Linked DNA regions of Lepisosteus oculatus. Each later gene encodes a partner of the first gene's protein in a complex. Links are inferred from orthologs where the notes say so. Each region holds a gene or a part of one and is shown on either strand. Other genes may lie near its edges.

Region 1 (10,495 bases):
GGGCCGCACAGTCGATCCATTCTTCGCGGGCTCAATGGGACCTTTTGTGCCGCCGGTCCAAGGCCCGCTCTGTCATCAGATGGGCCGTTATATTTTGGCATGACGTGGGCAGTGCTCTGAGCCCGTGCGAGTGGGCGACATCTTTGGGGAATAATTTGGCAAGGAGTTGCTTCCGATCAAGGATGGGTGGGTGTGGGGGGGTTAATTAGCTAATTAATATGCTTTTTTATACATCCTTTCTAAAACACACACACGACCCCCGTGTCTGTCTTGTAGGTGTGCGTATGCAATGAGTCAGTTCTCTTAGGACTGAAGGTTCAGGCCCAAACACGGTTTTTGCAGGTACTGTAGACTCAGAGAAGAGTGTCAACGAAGACGAGTGAGAAAACGTGAGGCGTCATCCGCTTGCCTTAAAATAACTCACCTACTACGAGAACGAAATCAAACTTGATCTGATTAAACGCCCTTGTGATAAATCAACCCAAAGACCTGTCAGACACAAGAAAATAGGTGCTAGAAGAAAGGGCATTATTTTCCATCTATAGGAAATTATTTATCGTCCCCTCTAAATCTAAATCTAGGTCTAGGTTTAAGTGGACCCCTTTTCGAACATTAGCTAAGGGTTTGTACAGAAATGTCCAATTTGCGACATGTACAGGTTATTTTCATAACGGCTTTTTTTTTTAATACAAAGTCGTGTGACCCCGTATCTGTAAAACTAGATAAGTAAAAGGTGTCAGTTGCACTCCAGTCACCAGTTAGAAAGAGTTGCGCACTTTTAAAACGGACTGAGCTCTTGTTCTGCTGTAAAGCTAAGTCAAACAGAGCCTCATCTCTAATGAATATTCAGTTAGTGTGCAGAGCCCAGACAGAACACAAGTATTTCCGCAGACAATAAGAAATTACCAGTACCAAAAACAAATAAGCGCTTTCAAAGCTCCAGTTGCAATACAAGTGGGAAAGGCAGACCTATGTGGTCGCTGTAGTTTGTTTCGAAGACCCCATTTCTCGCAAGCCAAGACTATGTCAGATGTTTGCATGGTGAAGAATATCGAAATAGTATTGCAACTAAGTGATATGTTACAGTGTAAAAGCTATTTGAATGGTATAGACCGGTGGCTCATAACTTGGGGTGCACACAACCTCTGGAGGTGTGAGATGTCCTTTCTCTGGGTTGCCAGTCAGGCAATAAAAATACAAATTATGCCTAGGCACACAACTACAACTACTTTGTTTCATCATGCCTAGGCATTTTAAGTTAAACCTAGAATAAATGTGTATTTTTTTCATGTATTCTTAATGAAACTGAGAAATTAACATACATATATAATTCTGTCTTGTTCATTCTACGGTTATGACCTACATCAGTGATATTTGATAAGATGTATGAGATGATACTTCCTACATCCCTACCTCCTTGACCATTAGAAGATCCCAGGCAGGTCCTGGATAAATTCCACTCTGGGATAACATATTCTAAAACACCAAAAAAACCTAATTTAAATTTCTTACATCTTCACCCGACCTGCTGTGTAGTTAGACAGCTGTTGGATAGTGGCTGCCGAAGGTCAAGCAAGTGGCTGGCTTCTGTATTTCGGTGGTGGAGGTAAAGTGTTTCCTCCTGTTTGAAAAGCACTTTGAATATTTAAGGAACTTATTTAAGGAACTGTAGTTGTTAATTTTACATTGGAGCCTGTAGGGAGTGTGGCGACACACAAGTCCAAAGTGGTTTGGCATTTGCAATAGGCTGGTAGAGTACACCCAGGCCACTGGTCTTCTGTTGTTTTGCCCTTGGCTTTTCCTTAAAGCAATCCTGGTGCCATTAAATCAGATAATGATTCATTTAAAGTTATTTTTAAGACATTTTAAAAAAGATTTCAATTAGAAAATATGATGCGAAATATCGGAGCTTTTAACGTACGTGTGTGATTTGACAGGCCACTTGAAATCTGTCACATTTTAAAAGTTGGAAAATGGTTAACCCAGCAACTGGAAGATTCATTAGGACAAAGACACAGTGGGTCTCACGGATGTGAGTTGGACAAGAGTTTGGGTCTATAGCGCTTCCTCCTCACACACAGGCAGGTGGTCAGTGCAAAGCAGAGTATTTCTGTTGCAGTGTTGGAAACGAGATGTTTTTTTTACTCCATTGCTCTTTTGAAAAGTAATGACTTCAGTATTAAAGGTTGTCCTTCTGGCACTTTCAAAGAGCATCAGCACCCTTACAATATGCCTACTGACAAGGGCACTACTGAATAACACAAGGTGACAAGGAGGGACAAAGCTATGTTTGACTTTATGTCAAGAATTTGTTTAAAAGGAGCACACACAGCAAATGTGATTGCCTGTGCTAATTAAAAGCATGCACTCGAAATAACCTGTCAGTTCTCAGCTACATTTTTCCTGCAAAAAACTGTTCTCAAAAAGCTGTAAAACCTAACTGGATTCTTTTCTCTTTTCTTGTATATGAGTTGTGTGCAAATCCCAGTCTTTGTGTGTATTTTAATAACTTCTTCGACATTGAAAAAAATAAATAAACTGTTTTAAAAAATCAGCTCCTCTTCTACAGTATTATGTTTCCTTCTAGGCTGAATAAAAAGATTAACTAAGCTATGCCAAATTTCCTTAACAGTGTCCCTGGTCCTGTAAGGTTTTTCCAGCACTTTTAGAGCAAACTAAAAGTGAAATTCTATGCTGAATTTCTATAAGATGTATACATGTCCTATTATATGCATTGCTTTAGTACCCTGTGACACAGAAACCTACTGTGTATGCATTGTAGGAACAGAATGTTATTACTGTGTTATAAGATATTTTTAAAGTGCATACAATATGGTTCAGGGCTCCACATAGCTTTAATCTCACAATTGTTTTCTTCTAAATAAGAACATACTGGACAAAGGACAAGAAAAATTACTGAATGCAATAGCTTGAGGATGGAGAATTATTTAAGATGCATATATGAATGCAGGTTAAATACTTCTGTATGAGCTGCATTATAATGAATTTTAAAAGTCAGAGTTAATGTCTTAGAAACAACCCACAAAGACAGAGAAAGACTGGAAAGCCTTACCAATATAGTGTTAATCATTCCTGGAGAAATATTTAGCAATGCAAATGAGCTTTGAAGCCAAAATAGCCACAGATAATCCCACAGAATCATAGAGCAAATCCTATGTGTTTTAAAATGACATTACTAGTACGGGCATTTCTTTTCAGCATGGAATTAACCCTTACTTGTTCCTTTGCAGTATTAGATACTCCTTTGAACCCACTCCAGATTTAAACAGTTGGTGTCAGCCTCCAAACTGTTTTGTCACTTTGCTCTGTTATAATGTAAAAGGCATATTATAACATATTTTGTTGATATGTGGAAGGGCTGTTATTTTTTTCTACTGTAGGTGTGAACCTGACCTAAGTTTATTCCTTTGTAAACATAGCAGAAGTAAGAGGTCCTACTCATCACATGGTTTCAATTATTGTGCTTATGTGCACATCACGGTTGTAACCAAGCTTTCTTAATTTTATTGGCCGATCGTCTCCGGTCACAAACAACAGACAGGAGAAGTATTAAAAAGCTTTGCCTTTCCATTTCTCCCCTAAATTGTACGGTTCTTTTCCCTAATCTTATGACAAATGTGAGCTCCATTGTAGTTAGTCTGGCCTGCTGGTGTAGATGTGGGCCCATACTGCTCTTGTTAAAATTGATTGCAATATCTGTGCTTTAAATGTCAATAGTGTAGATATAGGGAAGAAATACCCATCATCTCTTTCCTCCTTGTATACAGTACTTTTAAGTTAAGACTTTCATATGTAAATAGTTATTTTATAGTGGTTGTTTGTAAGTAACAAAATATGCTTTTGTGACGAGAGCTGTGGCACAGTGGTGCGTGCTATCTGTGTGGAGTTTGTGTGTTTGCATTGATTTTCTCTGGGTGCTTCAGTTTCCTCCCTCAAACCAAAATAAGAGTGGTAGGTTGTCTTCTGGGAAAATTGGCCCTGGTGGGAGTGTGTGACTCTGTGTGCCCTGCAATGGACTGGCATCCTGTGCAGGATGTACCCTGCCTTGCGCCTGTTGCTTGTTGGAGAGGCTGCGGCGCCCCTGCGACCCTGGATTGGAAGAAGCTGTTAGAAAATGGATGCATTGGAAAAAGTCCGTTTGTCATGGCCTTTTCATAGTTGCAATACGTATCAAAGGCTTGAATGCTATCAAGGTCTTGTGAATTAACCTCTTAAAAAATAAAATAATGTGACCACACCTGACTATTAGCTCTTTGTTCACAGAATAGTTGTCTATTCATCTTCATATCTCTTTCGGTATTTGTTCAGGTTCTCTCTGTATAAGATGAGTTTGCATTTCAATTTAAATTGGAGATGAGGGGGATGAAGGCTGAACTCTGTGAATGAGGTATGCAAATCTCTGTTAGCTAAGACCTACTAAGGGAACAATTGCACAGAGAGGCAATCAGGCGCTCGCTTGATGGAGATGCAAGAGCTTCAGGTGAGGATGAAAACAATGAGGGTGCTATTTAGATCACAGGAGGGATCAGAAAATTACTGTGTGGTGCAAAAAGGAGTTACATCAAATGATCTCAACAAACACAGAACAGTATACCAATTCTTCATGATCTTGGAGTTACAAGGACATTGTAATAGTTGTACTCAGAAACATTTAAACATTTTCTTTTTTGCATTTTACAAAAAAAAATTCTCTCTTGTTTACAAATGCATTGTTTCAGTCTGCTCAAATGATACATCTTCAGATAAATCACCCCGGTAGCAGGAAAGATTATTGTATATTATAATTAAAATCTTATTATTGACTTAACTGTATTAGGGTGTTACATAATCAATCTACAGAAGCCAAGCAAAATTAAAATTATGAGTAACAACAAACAATTGCTCCAACAGGGATTTTTAAAATACTATGAGTCTGTCTTGGTGCCCTGCAGTAATTAAGGAACACTCGAGAATCTGAAAAAAGCTAGTTTTCAAGTTACATATTCATATTTCTTTAGCTCATGGGCACCTTTCCTGGCTCAAAGTCCTCGAAACCTGGGACAAAGGTTACATTATTAGTCAAAAAAGTACCATGATTAATAATAATTATTAATATTAATAATGACCAAAGTAGCATAATAATTACCCATGACACAGTATGGCTTTTCCAACTCTCATAAAAAATGTCATTTAAATCATGTTACGTTCACAACCGGTGATAAAGGGATAATTTGCAAGCAAATTAAAACATCTTCAGATTGTTAAAATCTTATTTATACTTCAAAAATAAAGAAGTACTGATCCAAACCGTGTAAGTAACATAATCACACCTCAATTTAATAGTGCAATTACTGTTTTCGATTCATAATCAATACTAGACATATGCATCTCATGTTATACTGCAACATTCTCGCTATTTGTTTTTTTCAGTAGCACAGTCCAGCACCTCGTATTTGGACTCCTGACCTCCCGCCTCCCCACATGACAAGTTACTTTTACCGTGCCCCGGAAGCGGAAGTGATCTGCGCAGTGGGCCCGGTGGCGTGTGTGTTTTTGAAACGCACAGCCAACGCGAGGGAAGTGATCAGAGTAGAGGGGGGCTGAGAATTAATTCCTAAATACTCTAAACAGTTATCCTGTAGCCGTAAAAGTAAGGGAGATCCCTGGATACAAAACGAAATCGTTTACAGACGTAACAGATATCTTATCTTTCTTCTGCCGAGGTAGGCTTGAGCGGGGAGGTCGGCGTGTGAAGCGCCGGATCAGCCATGGCGGATGTAACTGCTCGGAGCCTGCAGTACGAGTACAAAGCCGTAAGTAGCACAAACAGCGCGCCAGTGCAAATGTAACTATAACTTTTTGTTGTATTCGAGCTTGTGGCGTTCTGTAAGTTTTGCATTGCAAGCTGGAAAAAGTGAAACGTTTGCAACCCTACGCCGCGAGTGTGGGGTGAGATGGGACTGTTCAGTTCCCAATGTAGGGCTGATTTTTCTGTTTACAAGAGGTCTGTGTACCTTTGTATGCAGCAAAGGTGAGTTGTTGCTTAGTTTGCGCTATTCCATTGCATACTTTGGCTTTGACATAAGCCCCTCTTATTTTGTACCAGAGCCTCAGAAGCTCTGGTATTAAGCAGGTTTCTTTGAAGTTGCAGCAATCAAAGATCCGGGGAGGTTTAAATGGCCAATTAAGCCAATAATTATGATTAGGATTAAGAGCTGACCTAGAATGAATATCTACAGATTCCTTGGGTCTCCAAGTTTTGACATTGCTGTTGGTTTAGATCCCAATAGGTGAGTCGGAAGCAAGAAATGAGAGGAGGTATAGAGTTAGTGAAGGAGCCAGTAGGGCCTCATCTGATCACTGATATTTACGCAGCATCTGTTCAGAGTACTTTGTATTGGTCTAAAATTATGATGCATACAGAGCTGTGGCCTGAATGTTTTCTTTTTCTCCCGAACAGAACTCTAATCTTGTACTGCAAGCAGATCGGTCTCTGATCGACCGGACTCGCCGCGATGAGCCCACAGGTGAGGTTCTGTCCCTTGTGGGAAAGCTGGATGGTACCAAGATGGGGGACAAGTCCCAGAGGACAAAGCCACAGATGCTGGAGGAGAGAAGAGCCAAGTAAGACCATATGGGTTTAATAGATCGAGTTCAGAGTCTTTCCTTGCTGTCCTGGGACTAGTGTTTGCCACCTGAAGAGTTTTTTTGTTTTATGAGCATGTGGTGTGTAAACATGGCATAGTGGCCAAATGTTTGTGAACATGGCCATCCGCATAATATAGCCAGATTTCCCGGTGCAGGCTTTTCCTGGAAACGTGTAGACCTGGAAAAAACACTTGAAAATAAAATGTCCTGGTAAAGGAAATACAATAAAGATATGTAGAAAATTCAGTATTGGGTACATTACTACGTGTAAATATACACCTTTTGAATGCTGGTGTGTTTTTTTTAATCGTGTATGTGCATGTGGTAAAATGGGAATAGATCAGTGGATGCTTTTTGTGATGCTGGCTCTCTAGACAGGTTTGGCTAGCCTTGTAATCCTCAAGGACTGGAACTACATAGTCCTTGTGTGTAGTTTTACAGAATGGGACTGATCGTGTGCAGAGTTACCTTTGAGGCACCTGCAGTGTTTAAGCCCACTTTAATGGAAGAGTGTGGGATCCTGTTTGCTGAGGCTCTGGCTGAGCGGTTCAGGGGAGATTGACGACCCTGTGCCCACTTGTTCTTCGTGCAGGAGGAGGAAGAGAGATGAGGACCGGCATGACATCAACAAGATGAAGGGTTTCACCCTGCTGTCAGAGGGCATCGATGAGATGGTGGGCATCGTCTACAAGCCCAAAACCAAGGAGACCAGGGAGACCTATGAGGTTCTTCTCAGCTTCATCCAGGCTGCCCTGGGAGACCAGGTGAGGGGCGTGTTTCAGTAGTCTCTTGTGGTGTTTTGACACATTACTGGAAGCTTTAGGAAGTTTTTTTCTGCAACACAGTGTGGTATGTTTGCAAGGTGTGTTGTGGTGTATGTGCTTCATCACAAAATGTTATCATCCTATTGCCTAATGACTTATATATTACTGCTTTATCGTGATTTTTGTCATGATTGGCACCATCTCAGAATATTAACAAGTTACATTGGGTTGTAACATAGCTTTTAAGAGTGTTTACTAGAACATTAAGAGATGGGGGTTAATAGCATTTTCAAAGCAAAATGTCAAGATGAGGGAGGCTTCTTCCCTGTGACTGATCAGGCATTTTGAATGTCCTTGAAGCCCAGAGACATCTTGTGTGGGGCAGCCGACGAGGTGCTGGCTGTGCTGAAGAACGAGAAGATGAGAGACAAGGAACGACGCAAGGAGATTGAGCAGCTGCTGGGTCCCACTGACGACACGCGTTACCATGTGCTGGTCAACCTGGGCAAGAAGATCAGCGACTACGGAGGAGACAAGGAGCTCCAGAATATGGGTACAGAGTCCACCTGTTACTTTATCACAGGGGCAGCTAGCCTAGAACCTGGAGAGCTGCGGCCTTGTGGATTTTATTTAAGCCTGCATTGTTATATTTGGTTCTTGATCTTAATGGGTGAAAACACCTGTTTTGTTTAATAGTGATTGATGATTTGTAGGTGTGTGCCAGTCCTACAGTATTGAAGCTTACTAGATTAGGATTAATACAAAATTAAATGGATTTATCATTTATAGGAATTGGATAGGAAAGATGTGTCGCAGAACAATATTGTATGTGCATTCTCTCCTGATAATCTTTCATGTTACCATTTTTGTGTTGTAGATGACAATATTGATGAAACGTATGGTGTCAATGTACAGTTTGAGTCTGATGAAGAGGTGAGTATATGTGACATCTAACCTTACCAAATATAAAGAGCTGTAGGCTTCCCTCCCCCAAGAATCCCAATACAAATGAGTACAAAATGGGCAGAAAAATTCAAAGTTGAAATGGCATATGACCTGGAGGAATTTATATCCAGGGTGCCATGTGTCCCAAGATTTAAGTGGGAATTCTGAGTGGCGGGTGAAAATGAGTAGAACTTTTGATTGTCTATTATCTCAAATATTTGTGAAAAATTACATTGGTAGATTTGGTTAAAATGAATATTTCCTGGTTCTTGGATCAGATCTCCTGTTCTGGAATCAATCCAGCATAAGATACTTTATAAGGCACAAAGGAATTTCCTACTCTGAAAGGCTTAAAAATTGTTATTTTTAAGTCAGAGAAGCCGAAGACATTTTTAAAATCCTCTACAGCGCTGAGGGTCTGGAATAAGCAATTCAACCTTATTGTCAAAGCTTATACACTGGCTTTTTACAAGAATCATTTGGATACGTTCCTGGTGTCAATTAGCCTCTAGCAAGCCAATGAACTAGATGGGCCAAATGGCCGGTCTACTCTGGTTTGTGACCTTTCTGCGGCTCTTGTGTGGGGCGTAGCGAATGGAGAAGTCGTATATGTGCTTACAGTTACGATGTGTGTAGCTGTATGTCAGTGTGCTGACAGCTGTGTGTGTTGCAGGAGGGAGATGAGGACCAGTATGGGGAGGTTCGAGATGAAGTGTCTGATGAAGACAGCGAGGGGGTGGAGGCCGATGTGGGCTGTACTCTCAGTGCCAATGTAAGTGTTGCCAGTTCCTCCTGTCTTATTCCCTCTCTACCTCTGAGTGAATCTCCTGTCTCTTTTTCATTCTTATTTCTTGTTCCCTGTTTAGTTTATTTTGTTTTAAAAAAACTATATCCAAGATCAGAATATTTTTGCATCCTTTTTTAATTAATCACATACTCTTTTCCTTTGCGTAAAAAAAGTCAAATTTCAATGTTTCAACTTGGAAAACACCTGGAAACTTGCCGTTTCTGCTTTTATTTTTCAGCCATATTTCAAGCATCTGGATTCCCTTAATGCTCAGAACCGTTCTTCTTTCAAAACTCAAGATTTGTAGTTTCATAGTCTTGTCAGTTAGAATTGTATTTTTGTTCACAAGAGTTCGCAAATAATTGAGAATATTAGGGCTGACAAGGCTGAATGAGATTACTGCAGAAGATATTGCATTTTATCAAACGTGGATTGGACCAGACTTTTCTGTCCTTGTCCCCCAGAAATGAACTTGCCTTATTCCTGTTTCTTCAGCTGGGCTCTTCAGGTGATGTCATGACTGCCAAGAAGAAAGACCTGCACCCTCGTGACATTGATGCCTTCTGGCTCCAGAGGCAGCTGAGTCGTTTCTACGACGATGCCATCGTGTCTCAGAAGAAGGCAGATGAGGTGCTGGAGATCTTGAAGGTGAGGTCGCTGAGCATGCACACCACACATACCTCAGAATCTGGGTACCCCAAATAAGAGCTCTTCCCATCCCTTCAATGAGGAGAAAATTATCCAGATTCTGGGCCTCCACTGAAAAATATAGTAAAACCTGGAAACCAACTTCGGTGTTAGCTGACATTTCTTCTTCACAATATTCTGATTGCACGGATTTCAAAACGTGTATTATATTTTCCTTGAAGCAGCATGGCAGTAGTAAATGTGTGCGACAGTAATAATCGTCTTTTAGTGAAGTAGAAAACAAAAACTTGAAGGTGATTCATTTTTATTTCCTGTCCTGGTTCTTGAACTCCTGTATGGTGTCTTCAGTCAAGTAGGTTCGTGTCTGTCCTGCAGGCAGCATCTGTCTTTTCTAAACATTAGAACACCAGGGAAGGAGAGCAAAGGTTTAGATGTTGGTGGTGGGGTCGGTTCAGTGTATTGGGAGATGTTTGTGTTGCTTTACAGACGGCCAGTGACGACAGGGAGTGTGAGAACCAGCTGGTCCTGCTTCTGGGCTTCAACACCTTTGACTTCATCAAGGTCCTCCGACAGCACCGGCGAATGAGTGAGTCTGGGCTGGTGGTACCTGTGTTTGTGTGGAGGAGTGTGGTGGGCGTAAATGACAGGTCTTGCTCATTGTAATGTTTTACACAATAGCATAGCAGTTACAGGTTACATGGGG
Region 2 (9,869 bases), on another chromosome or scaffold:
GGCCCAGCATGCTCCCCCTGAATGTGATGCAGGTAAGGGGCTGGGCAGGGTGCTCTGCAGTGTGGACGGAGTTTAGGGGCCTGTGCAAGTGGCAGGTGGCTTTTATGTCATTTCTGCACGGGGTGATTCAGCCCATGCAGGAATGGTGTCGGGGTCTGTTCTCCACCTGTGTTATTTATACCTTCAGACCCGGGTGGCAGGGTGACTGTATCCCGCCGGGATTGGGTTACAGAGTGCTCAAAATACATGCAGTTTTTAAGGGGAGCTGGGAAGTGTGTGTGTGGGGGGGGGTGAGTTTGAGACCAGTCACAGAGGCTGATTTACGTCGCTGAACTCGGCGACAGCTGCTGCACTCTTAGGATTCTGCTGCTCCGAGAAAGTCCCCAGATGCCTCTGACAGCCGACTCCACTTTCCTTTAATCCACCAAGGCCAGAAGTGAGACCGGGGCCTGAATTAGGAGAAGACTCGCTGGCAGGGGGTTGTGTTTGGTTGCGGGGAGGGGCTATGCTATAGGAGCTGGCCTCCTGGATCGGTCTTGGGAAGGGGAGTTGCGCTGTGATGCTGTGCTCAAACCTTTTTAGGTTTTGGACCCCCGAAGCTTTCCCAGCTGTGACAGTTGTTTGTCAGCGGGGAAGCCTGTGTTCGGAAGCCATTCCCCCCCCCATACGAGGAGCAAAGACCAACTAGAGCTGCTCCCCTTTCCCTGAGCACACTAAGACCGGTTCTTGACCCCTGACCTCGGAGATGCCCCCCCCAACCGCTCGCCTGATGTGCACGGATATGGACAACACATGGCAATAGACTAAGATGAAAATTTACATGGGTTGAATTAAGATTTGAGTAGTGGGATTGTGAATACGGGTACATGTTTGAGCCAAAAGGATTATCCTGGGATTATCTGGGCAGGATGCAGGAACTGGATCTCTTTAGTCTGGGCTCAGCGTGTTCCTCAGCTCGGGCAGAAACGCACAGCTGCTGTGATGGAGACAAGCAGCTCCTCTCAGTCCTGCTGCTGCTGCTGCTCTGGCATGTTGATGCAGAAGCAGAGGTCAGTTTTCAAGAGCCCAACGTTTGAACAGCGGGTTATTTATATTCACGAGATGCATTTGTGAACCTTCAGGTGGCTACACATCACACCATTTGAATTTCTCTTACAACAGCATCAGCAGTTATGCATCAGTGGGGGGAAAACAGCTTCTCTTTCTGATTTTAATAGGCATAAGTTACAAAATGACAAAAAAGATTGACAACATCTTAAGTTCTCCCCAGAGAGCGTGTGAGAGATCTGACCATTAAAAGGTCTTCAATCACTTCTTTATAATTACATTTTGTCCTCCACCTACAGCAGTTCATGCTTTTGCCGTTCAAAAATGGCGTCGCTGTACAAATGTTCTCTGAAACAGTTCAAATGCTCTTCCTGTTCTGGGACAGGTGGGGTCAGGAGGGGGAGAGGGTGGGGGGCTGGTCCTCGTCGGAGTCGAATTCCACGTTCTCATCCTTCACCCAGTTTCCACTTCGGTCCTGCAGCCACCCGGAGCTGCAAGGAAGGACAGACAGAGGAAGGAGAGGCAGGCTGACACCTGGTGGGGAAACGGAGAACTGCAGCTTTCGGGGTCATTCACAGCAATGGCGTTAGATGCGTTAAGTAAGTTACGAAGACGGCAGGCATTCGGGGGTCGCTGTACCAGTGGGAGGATCTTCTTCTCCAGCCCCATTGCCTTGCCATCCGCTTTGACGTTTCCCCCCTCGCTCTTCTTTTGCAGGATGAGTAAGTCAGTGTCCGGGAAATGATACCGGCCAAGGGCCCGGAAAATAGGGCGGATGCCTTTTCTAGGCCACCTCCTGTAGGTTCGCACAAGTGGAAGGTTACCTTTTCAGCCTGAGGTAGTGCTCCATCTCTTGGCGCCTCTGTGCCGCCCCGGGATCTGGCTCGGAAGCCGCCGCAGGCCGGGACTTCTTTCTCGTGCTCTCCTTCGCTCGCTCGGGGACGCCCTCTCTCGGGATCTCTGGGGAAGGTAAGAGAGCAGGGAGTTACAGCAGGGCCCTGTAATAGTGTGTAATAGCGTGAAGCAGGGCCGAACACAATAAGATTTCAAATTAGGCTTTGTATTTGCCTTATGATGTAAACTTATCTTTCAGGTCTTAGAAGGCCATGAGAGTAGCCATAAACTATATCCGGTGCCTTACAGAGATGTGCTATCATAGGAACGCAGACAGGAAACGCATATGCTACATTTAAAACTGCCATTCTTTCAGGTGAATATGTTTACGAGCTATGCACATGATTGAGCACCTAGTGCACTGTTGCTATGGTGTCCAGGAAGTGAGGTCACTGGTGTGGTGTCAGCCGTTGATGTCCCCCCTGACTGAGCTTGCAACATTTGGTTCCTGGGAACAGGGGTCCTGCTGGGTGAGGGACAGCTGGAGTTTGATTCAGACCTGCTGCTGTAAGAAAAACACACATTTCTCTCTGAGCTGTTTGGCAAGAGCTCAAATGAAAGCCAAGGAGAAGCCTAGTATTTTTGCAATGCATTTTAATGTATACTTCATACTTCAAATGAAAACCCTTCCACAGCAGGGCAGACAGGGCTCCAAGCTTTCTGACCATTTTATTGTTGAAGGTTTTTACAGACAATCCCAGTTACCTTCTCTTCTGGTGGCAGCTGTTGTAGGGGGTGGACTTCAGCAAGGCATGATGGGTAATCTTGCGTGTCTGGGCCAGCAGAGGAGCTGGACCAGCTGTCTCCTTTAGGGCAACGACAAGGCAAGAGGAGAAGAGAAACGTAAACTCATCGTCCTCCAGAGTCAACGTACCTGTTCAGGCATGGAGGTTCGTACGCCTGACAGCTGCACGACCTTGCTCAGGCGAAGGGGCTTGGACTGGTCCTGGAGTCAAGTCCCCAGCTAAGGGAAGAGGACCGACATTTCAGTCGCGGAAGTCTCGTAGTTGTGAACAATCAGCCTGGGGCACTTGCAGTATAAAACACTTCTAGGGTTCTGTGACTCTCTATAGCAGCCAGCCAGGGCCTTCCCTTACTGCGCCCCAGAGCTCTGGAGCTCCTTCCCCAAGCATCCCAGAGTCCTCTTCCCCGAGCACTTCCAAATCCAGACTCAAAATCTTCTTCCCCGGAAAGCTGATTGTTTTCTATTTAATCGGCATCTGTGTCTGCTCCTTGCACCTTCTCCTGCTAATCCCTTGTGCTTCTTCTTGTTACTTCTGTAATCTCCTGTCTTTTACTGCTCTCTTTTGTTTGAACTCTTCTTTTCCTGTAAGGAGTTCTGAGCAGCCTACTTTTAAACGCGCTCTATAAAACAGTGTTTATCATGATGATAATAAGTAGCAGAAAATGACATATGAATAGGATTCTGGTTGTTCTTCTATCCTACAGCTTCAGTTAAAGGGGGACTAAGGATATGTGAGACTTCCAGGTGGTCGTCTGATTACACAGCAGCTTGAGCTCACCTGCCTGCCCGCTTCCTCCTGGCGCACGTAGGCCAGGTGGCGCCGCTTCTCGATCTCGTTCTGCAGCTCCCGCTTCTTCCTGTAGGACCACTGGAGCCCTGCGGAGACACGGGGCAGGAGACGCGTCCCTCAGAGCGCCTGGGCCACAGGACCCCCCTGCGCTGGGGGGGAGGAGCCCCCCGCAATTTAAGCTCTTCAATAAGGCTTCTTGACTTGAAATGGGGGTGGAGGGGGTCATGGCTCACCAGGGTTTTCCCAGGCGACCTCATCAGCACTCACTCGCTGGAATAATAATAATAATAATAATAATAATAATAATAATAGTCCTGGCGCTTCTATAGCGCTTTTCTGGACACTCCACTCAAAGCACTTTACAGGTAATGGGGATCCCCTCCACCACCAGCAGTGTGCAGCCCCACCTGGATGCTGCGCCAGTCCGCCCCCCACACACCAGCTCTCAGTGGGGAGGAGAGCTGAGTGATGAAGCCAGTTCAGAGAGGGAGGTCATGAGGGTTAAAGGCCAGGGGGGAAATTTGGCCAGGACACCAGGATTAACATCCCTAGTCTTCTAGAGAAACGATCTCTCCCGGGTCAGCTCCCAGACTGGAGTGCAGTCCTGCATGCGGCCGGTACCCGGTCTGGAACAGGCGAGACCTACCCTCCAGGTGTCTCTTCCCTTTCCTGTGGACGGCCAGCATGTCCACGGTGTCGAACACGGGCCGGGACGAGCACACTAAACAGGCGTACCTGCGGAGGAGAGCACAGGGGCGGAGAGGGAGGGCGCCTAGAGGCTAGATTCCCGATCCCATACTGCCTTGAAGGGAGAGATAAAGGAGTCTTCATCTGCAGTGTATCATCTTCCAAACAATAAATGCATTCATTCTTTGGGGGGCGGGGGTCTGAGGTAATTGCAAGCATCAATTTGATGCCACAGCCCAGAAGTTTCAGATGGCTTTATAGCCAGTGTGGAAAACACATCCTACATCGACTTGGACACATTTTAGGCTGAGCCGTGGGGGGGGGGGGTAATTTGCTTAGGGCGGCGCTATGCAAAGGTGGGATTACCTTCCGTTCTTCATCAGGACGGCCTCGTCCTCGGGAATGAAGTTGGACAGGAGATCAGCGACGCGTCGTTTCTGCCAGTGAGAAGAGAGGCTCAATGGGAATGAACCAGCCTGCCTAATTGAAAGGGCCTTTCAGATGAATCCCTGAATTACACATCTCTTCATCAAGACGCAAAAGCAGGGAAAGACACTCTGGGCACAAAGTTAAGATCCCCTTTAGAGCTACTTTTCGGAGAGAAATAGCTAGCTTCGTTCAGCTGCACCTTTACTATGTTTGCATCGGCCTTTTCGAAAGCACAAGTAGAAAACACTGGAAATATTAAATAACAAAACATACCTTGAGGACATTCAGTTGACTAGCGTCATCCCCTTCCCTTTTAAAAGACATTATTACAAGAACACCAGAAAAGTACTCAGCCTTGCTTTTCGTTCATCGGACAAACATCACTTCCGCCAGCTGAATGATGGGACTTGTAGTTTTTCAAGTGTTAATGGCTATCGAGTGGGTGCTGGGAGTCCTACTTATTTGTGAAACCTCTGACTGGGACAGCATAAATACAACTGCAAGTCTTGTTATTGTAAAAGTAATAATTAATTAATGCAAATTATGGGGCGAGGGATGTACCCTACTTATAGAATCGTCCCGCTTGTTTCTCTATGCACACTCCAGTTCCCATGGGACTGTGGGGCCTCGCCTTTCCCAACATTCCTAGCTTACACGCCCAATAGAACTATGGAAATTGTAGTTTTTTAAGTCATGTCTATCTCGTTGTTCCAACGACTCTCCGAATTAGGCAGAACTACAACTCCTAGGGTACTTTCATTTCGAGTACGATTGTATGTAGTAAAAAGCTTGGCGTTGAGGACGTTATGTTATAATTTAAGGTTTCCGTCACTATGATGAAACGGGTTTTTTAAACAAAATGCGCTACAAAAAACACGGGAAAGACAGTGACAAGAAAATGCACACGCGAGAATGTTCAACGAACAGAAACAGAAAACGTGTTCGAGTAACTCATTTTTAGACTTGCTTTGGTACTGATATTTTATTTTTGACAGTTCCAGGGACCTCGTTCGCGATTGTTACGGGTTCTATTTCAGGCGTTTTAATTTAGAGGAATTTATAGCTAGACGCATAAATAACAGGTACGTTGTATTTATTTTAGCCACAGTACAAGTAGCTTTTACTCCAGCGTCGATACACTGTACTGTACATCCGCTCGAGGGATGGATCTGCGGGATAAAAACAGATCAGAAACGCTTAGGAAACAACCCTGCACAATCGAAGAACCTTGTGTTTAGCTAACTGGGTGACGGTTGCTAGCGCTTAGCTAGTCTGCATAAAACAGACCCGTCCAGTGAAACCGGTACCCCAAGTTTCTCTGTTCGGTCCCGCGGACGTCTCTTTAATCAAATTAAAGCCTGGTGCTTTTCGTCCTGCAAACCGCGAGCCACTGGGGGTCTTAAACCGTACTTCGCATGCGAAGGCTTTCCTGTAGTTCCGATCTCACACACTTCTCTCAAAAAATCTCCCGCTGTTGAGTCTGTGTGTGATGCCGAGCCTCCCAAACATTTTAGAAATTCGTAACCGGACGTTTTGTGCTCTCAAGAGAAGTATCTTCACACGCTGTTGATGGGCGCAGGGAGGTCCACTGACCTATACAGCATTTGAGCTTGAAAGGGTCCGGGGACTCTTTCGATGGAGCCTCATCCGGAGACCACCGAACTGGACTAAGACGAAAAACAGAGGGGGCACAAGGGCGACATCTTCATCGGCGATGTCTTCGGGACGGCTCCCTGCTTCTGCCGGGGGCGAGGCGCTCCTCTCCGGGAGCCGGACCCGTTCCTACGGCAGCCTGGTGCATTCAACCCGGTCGCCGGTGCGAGAGAGGCGGGTGGAGCACCAGGTGCAGCCCGGAGAGACGCTTCAGGGACTGGCGCTGAAGTACGGGGTGACGGTGAGTGCCACCTGGGGGTTGGTTTCTGAGATTCGCCTGAGCAGGAGAGTTCATGAGGTCATGTAACTTGGGCTCTGCGAAACTTTTGTGGCTCTTTTCGCGAAATATTTTCCCTCACTCGCATGAATAAATTCCTGATTCAAAGATTGTTTTGTGGTGTGTGTGTTTTTTTTTTTGCAGATGGAGCAAATCAAGAGAGCCAATAGGCTGTACACCAACGACTCCATATTCCTGAAGAAGTCTCTCTCGATCCCGGTGCTGACGGACCTGGAGCCTCCGGGGGGCGGGGCGGGGCCGGCGGGCGAGGGGACGAGCCAATCGCCGGCCGGGGAGCGCGGAGAGGACCTGAAGGAGAACGGCGCGTCCGCCAATCAGACGAAAGGCGAGCCGGAGGTGCCCGGCACTGGGGTGAACTCGGACCTGTCGGCCAGGGACTTCCTGGAGAGGATGGACTGCATGATCAGCCAGTCCAAACAGGCAGCTGTGAGGAAGATGCGGGAGGGAGAGAAGGGGTGAGTGCCGGCCGACTGGACAGCTGGGTGTCCCATGACGCTTCATTTAATTACAGTGGACGAATGATGCAGGCACAGTTCTTTCAAAGTGAATATCCATTCATCCATTTTTTTTTTAACCGCTCGATTTTTCCTTGCAAGAGGCTGGGTTGGGGGGGAGGGGGGGAGCTGGTGACTGTCCCGGCATTCAGTGGGTGCAAGGCGGGGTACCCCCTGGATGGGACGCCAGTCCGTCACAGGGCAGGCAGACTCACACCAGGGCCGATTTTCCCACAAGGGAATTAATCCACCAGGAAACCCATCTGAACACAGAGAGAACATACAAACTCCACATAGACAGCACCCGAAGTCAGGAATTGAACCCAGGGCCCCAGTTCTGCAATTTAGCAATTGAACATTTTTAATCAAGACCTGGATGCTTAAAACAAATTTTACGGGTGACAAGCACAGAATTGTTAACTTGGTGAAAGTACTGTAAGTCGCCATGTTGTCGCAGACTCCTGGTCTCACCACAGAGTCTGTGCAACATGTTGGCAGCCCTTCCTGCTCACTAGTCCCTGTAATGACTAGTACGCTGTGATGTACGAGCGAATAAGTACAGACTGTGCTGCAGACATTTCACTGCTGAAATGTTCCAACGAGATCTGCATGCAGAGTTAACAAGTAGTATTTGTAGCATAACCTTCTCGAAGGCGAGAGCCATATTTCTATTGGATTAAAGGAGATTGTTTTCACAAGCCTGCTTGTTTACAGTGTAATAGGGCCTTTTCACCTTACTGGAAGTTTTGTTGCCTCATTCTCAATCGCAGGACATGGCACTGCGCATACCTGGATCATTTTGTCTATTTTGTGGTGTAAATTGGAGGTTTAATACATTACTGTGTATATTTTGCTTTCATTGTGGTTTGAAATGCCCTCATCAATGCTGATTCTTCCGAACCCCGAAATATAAAAATGGCGCTGCAGCTCCCCTTTAAATAACCTTGCTTTAGCATGTACAGTAAGTGACGTTTAGGTAAATGCATTGCACCTTCTGAAACCTGAATTGGGCCTGAGTCCTGTGGGGCAGGAGTTTCTGTTTCCATTCCAGGGGTGGTGTGGTCATTTGTAGTGCTGCAGTAGACGTTAGAGTGAGCTGTGTTAATGCTCGACTGCCCGACAGACCCAGCAGAGGAAATACCCTGCGCCCCTGCTGGGGAGCCTTCCTCAGGGGTTCGCAGGCAACAGGCCGGAGTGCAGGTTGTGGGGTGCGACGAGAATTTATTTCCCTCTTTCAGGTTGTCAGAAGGATGTTATTGTTGGAAGCGGAGGGAGTCAGGAAGCAGAAGGAGACGACGAGGTGAAATGAGACCCCAAATAGACGCTGTCCCGGGGGCAGTCCTGCAGAGGATTTAATTCCCTCCCCTTTGCTTTCACAGCCTGGTGGGACTTGAGCCGGCCGGCCCCCGGAGAGCCTCGGCCAACCGCAGGGCCGAGCTCCGGAGCTCCGCCTCTTCTCCCAGGGTGCACCAGGGGGCCACGCTGGGCCCCGTCCCGCTCACCATCACCAAGCGCGCCAACGGGCTGAGGGACAGGGAGGACGAGATCTTCCAGCTCTGACGCCACCCCCGCCCCCCCCCCCCTCGCTCTTCTGTCGCCCCCCTCAGCACGGAGGTCCTGGGATACCGGTGCCGAGCGGATTTCTGACTTGTTTTTTGAGGGAAGGAGGGAAGGCTCACACTTGCATGAGCCCGGGTAGCTCGGCGGGCTAAACCGCTGTCTTGGATGCCCGAGATATGGGAAATAGAGAGCACAGGACTGAACCCCCCTCCAGCTTGGCAAAGACACACGACGAAGTGTGAAAGGAAGACGTTCGGAATAGATCAGCAGCAAACAAACACAACAGCAAACCAGCATGCCGCCTGACCCAGTCAGTCGTGCTGGAATCCTCCTTGTAAAAGTACATCAGAAAGACTCCTTGTAGGTTTTCTGTGTTGAAATAACTTTTCGACTTATTTCGTGACTTCTGTACTTCAGGTCAGATATGTTCTGTAGTTCAGGTGGGTAGCTGCATGCGTAGTCTGCAAAGGAACAAGTAATAGGTTTACTCCACGCTGAAAAGAGAAAAGAGAAAACGCAACGTTTCGGCTGTGGAGCCTTCTTCAGGTTGTCTCCCCGAAGACGCCTGAAGACCCTTCTTCAGGCCAACTGAAGAAGGCTTCACAGCCGAAACGTTGTGTTTTCTCTCTTCTCTTTTCAGCAGGGAATAAACCTCTTACTTGTTCCTTTGCAGATCTGTTCTGTGCTCTGCTGAGGCGATGCACTGATTTGTCAGCATGAATAACAGTTCGATGGCTATTGGCCGTCCTGCAGCCCTGCGGCCTCGCTCCCTGTCTGTGTCCTCGTGGGTCAGTACAGACCTGTGGCCAGAGCTGAAGCCTGTACAAGCCATTGAGCCAGATTCTTCAGCTCTGTGCTGCTTAAAGTAGCGTGTGGGTTGGTTTCGTTCCTGAGATGCAGGGTGTAAGATCACTTGCACTTCCTAGGATGGTGCAGGAGAACCGAACCGATCTCATTCATCTGTGCCCTGTCTGGGCTGGTTTGTGCTGTTGAAAGTAGCGACAGAGGTGCATTAATTCCGTGGATATCACACCTTCCTTCTTCCAGGAGGCGTGTGACTGTTGTTGCCATTGTAGGGGGGTGGTGAGTGACATCATACCCCCCAAAAAATAAGGTGCTGTGTTTCGAGAACGAAAGCACCTCAGATGCTACTTCCACTGGCAAAAACTGGCGCAGGCTGAGCGCTGCTGAATGCAGCGGGTTTCGTTGTTTGTGCTGTTTGTTTGGGGAGCTGTGTCATGTAACCGAGCTGTCGGGACGTCCCAAACCTGG

Evidence for each region. Proteins that work in one complex are often made in the same cells at the same time.
Region 2: snrnp200 (region 1) and scnm1 share a complex: the UniProt entries of both Homo sapiens proteins name them as parts of the minor spliceosome. The link is inferred for Lepisosteus oculatus from reciprocal best matches to the Homo sapiens genes SNRNP200 and SCNM1.

What each region holds. Positions count from the first base shown.
Region 1 is NC_090697.1:70,220,835-70,231,329, reverse strand, and holds the start of snrnp200 (U5 small nuclear ribonucleoprotein 200 kDa helicase), read left to right. Parts: upstream 1-5,535; 5' UTR 5,536-5,768; coding exon 5,769-5,813; intron 5,814-6,460; coding exon 6,461-6,624; intron 6,625-7,240; coding exon 7,241-7,412; intron 7,413-7,772; coding exon 7,773-7,965; intron 7,966-8,289; coding exon 8,290-8,345; intron 8,346-9,030; coding exon 9,031-9,129; intron 9,130-9,639; coding exon 9,640-9,792; intron 9,793-10,278; coding exon 10,279-10,378; intron 10,379-10,495. UniProt on the Homo sapiens protein: Catalyzes the ATP-dependent unwinding of U4/U6 RNA duplices, an essential step in the assembly of a catalytically active spliceosome. Plays a role in pre-mRNA splicing as a core component of precatalytic, catalytic and postcatalytic spliceosomal complexes.
Region 2 is NC_090722.1:5,083,106-5,092,974, forward strand, and holds scnm1 (sodium channel modifier 1), read right to left. Parts: upstream 4,989-9,869; 5' UTR 4,917-4,988; coding exon 4,866-4,916; intron 4,601-4,865; coding exon 4,530-4,600; intron 4,212-4,529; coding exon 4,123-4,211; intron 3,563-4,122; coding exon 3,465-3,562; intron 2,748-3,464; coding exon 2,647-2,747; intron 2,447-2,646; coding exon 2,295-2,446; intron 2,008-2,294; coding exon 1,872-2,007; intron 1,539-1,871; coding exon 1,439-1,538; 3' UTR 1,197-1,438; downstream 1-1,196. Other genes in the region: lysmd1 (lysM and putative peptidoglycan-binding domain-containing protein 1), read left to right, coding at 6,307-6,486, 6,667-6,998, 8,417-8,597. UniProt on the Homo sapiens protein: As a component of the minor spliceosome, involved in the splicing of U12-type introns in pre-mRNAs. Plays a role in the regulation of primary cilia length and Hedgehog signaling.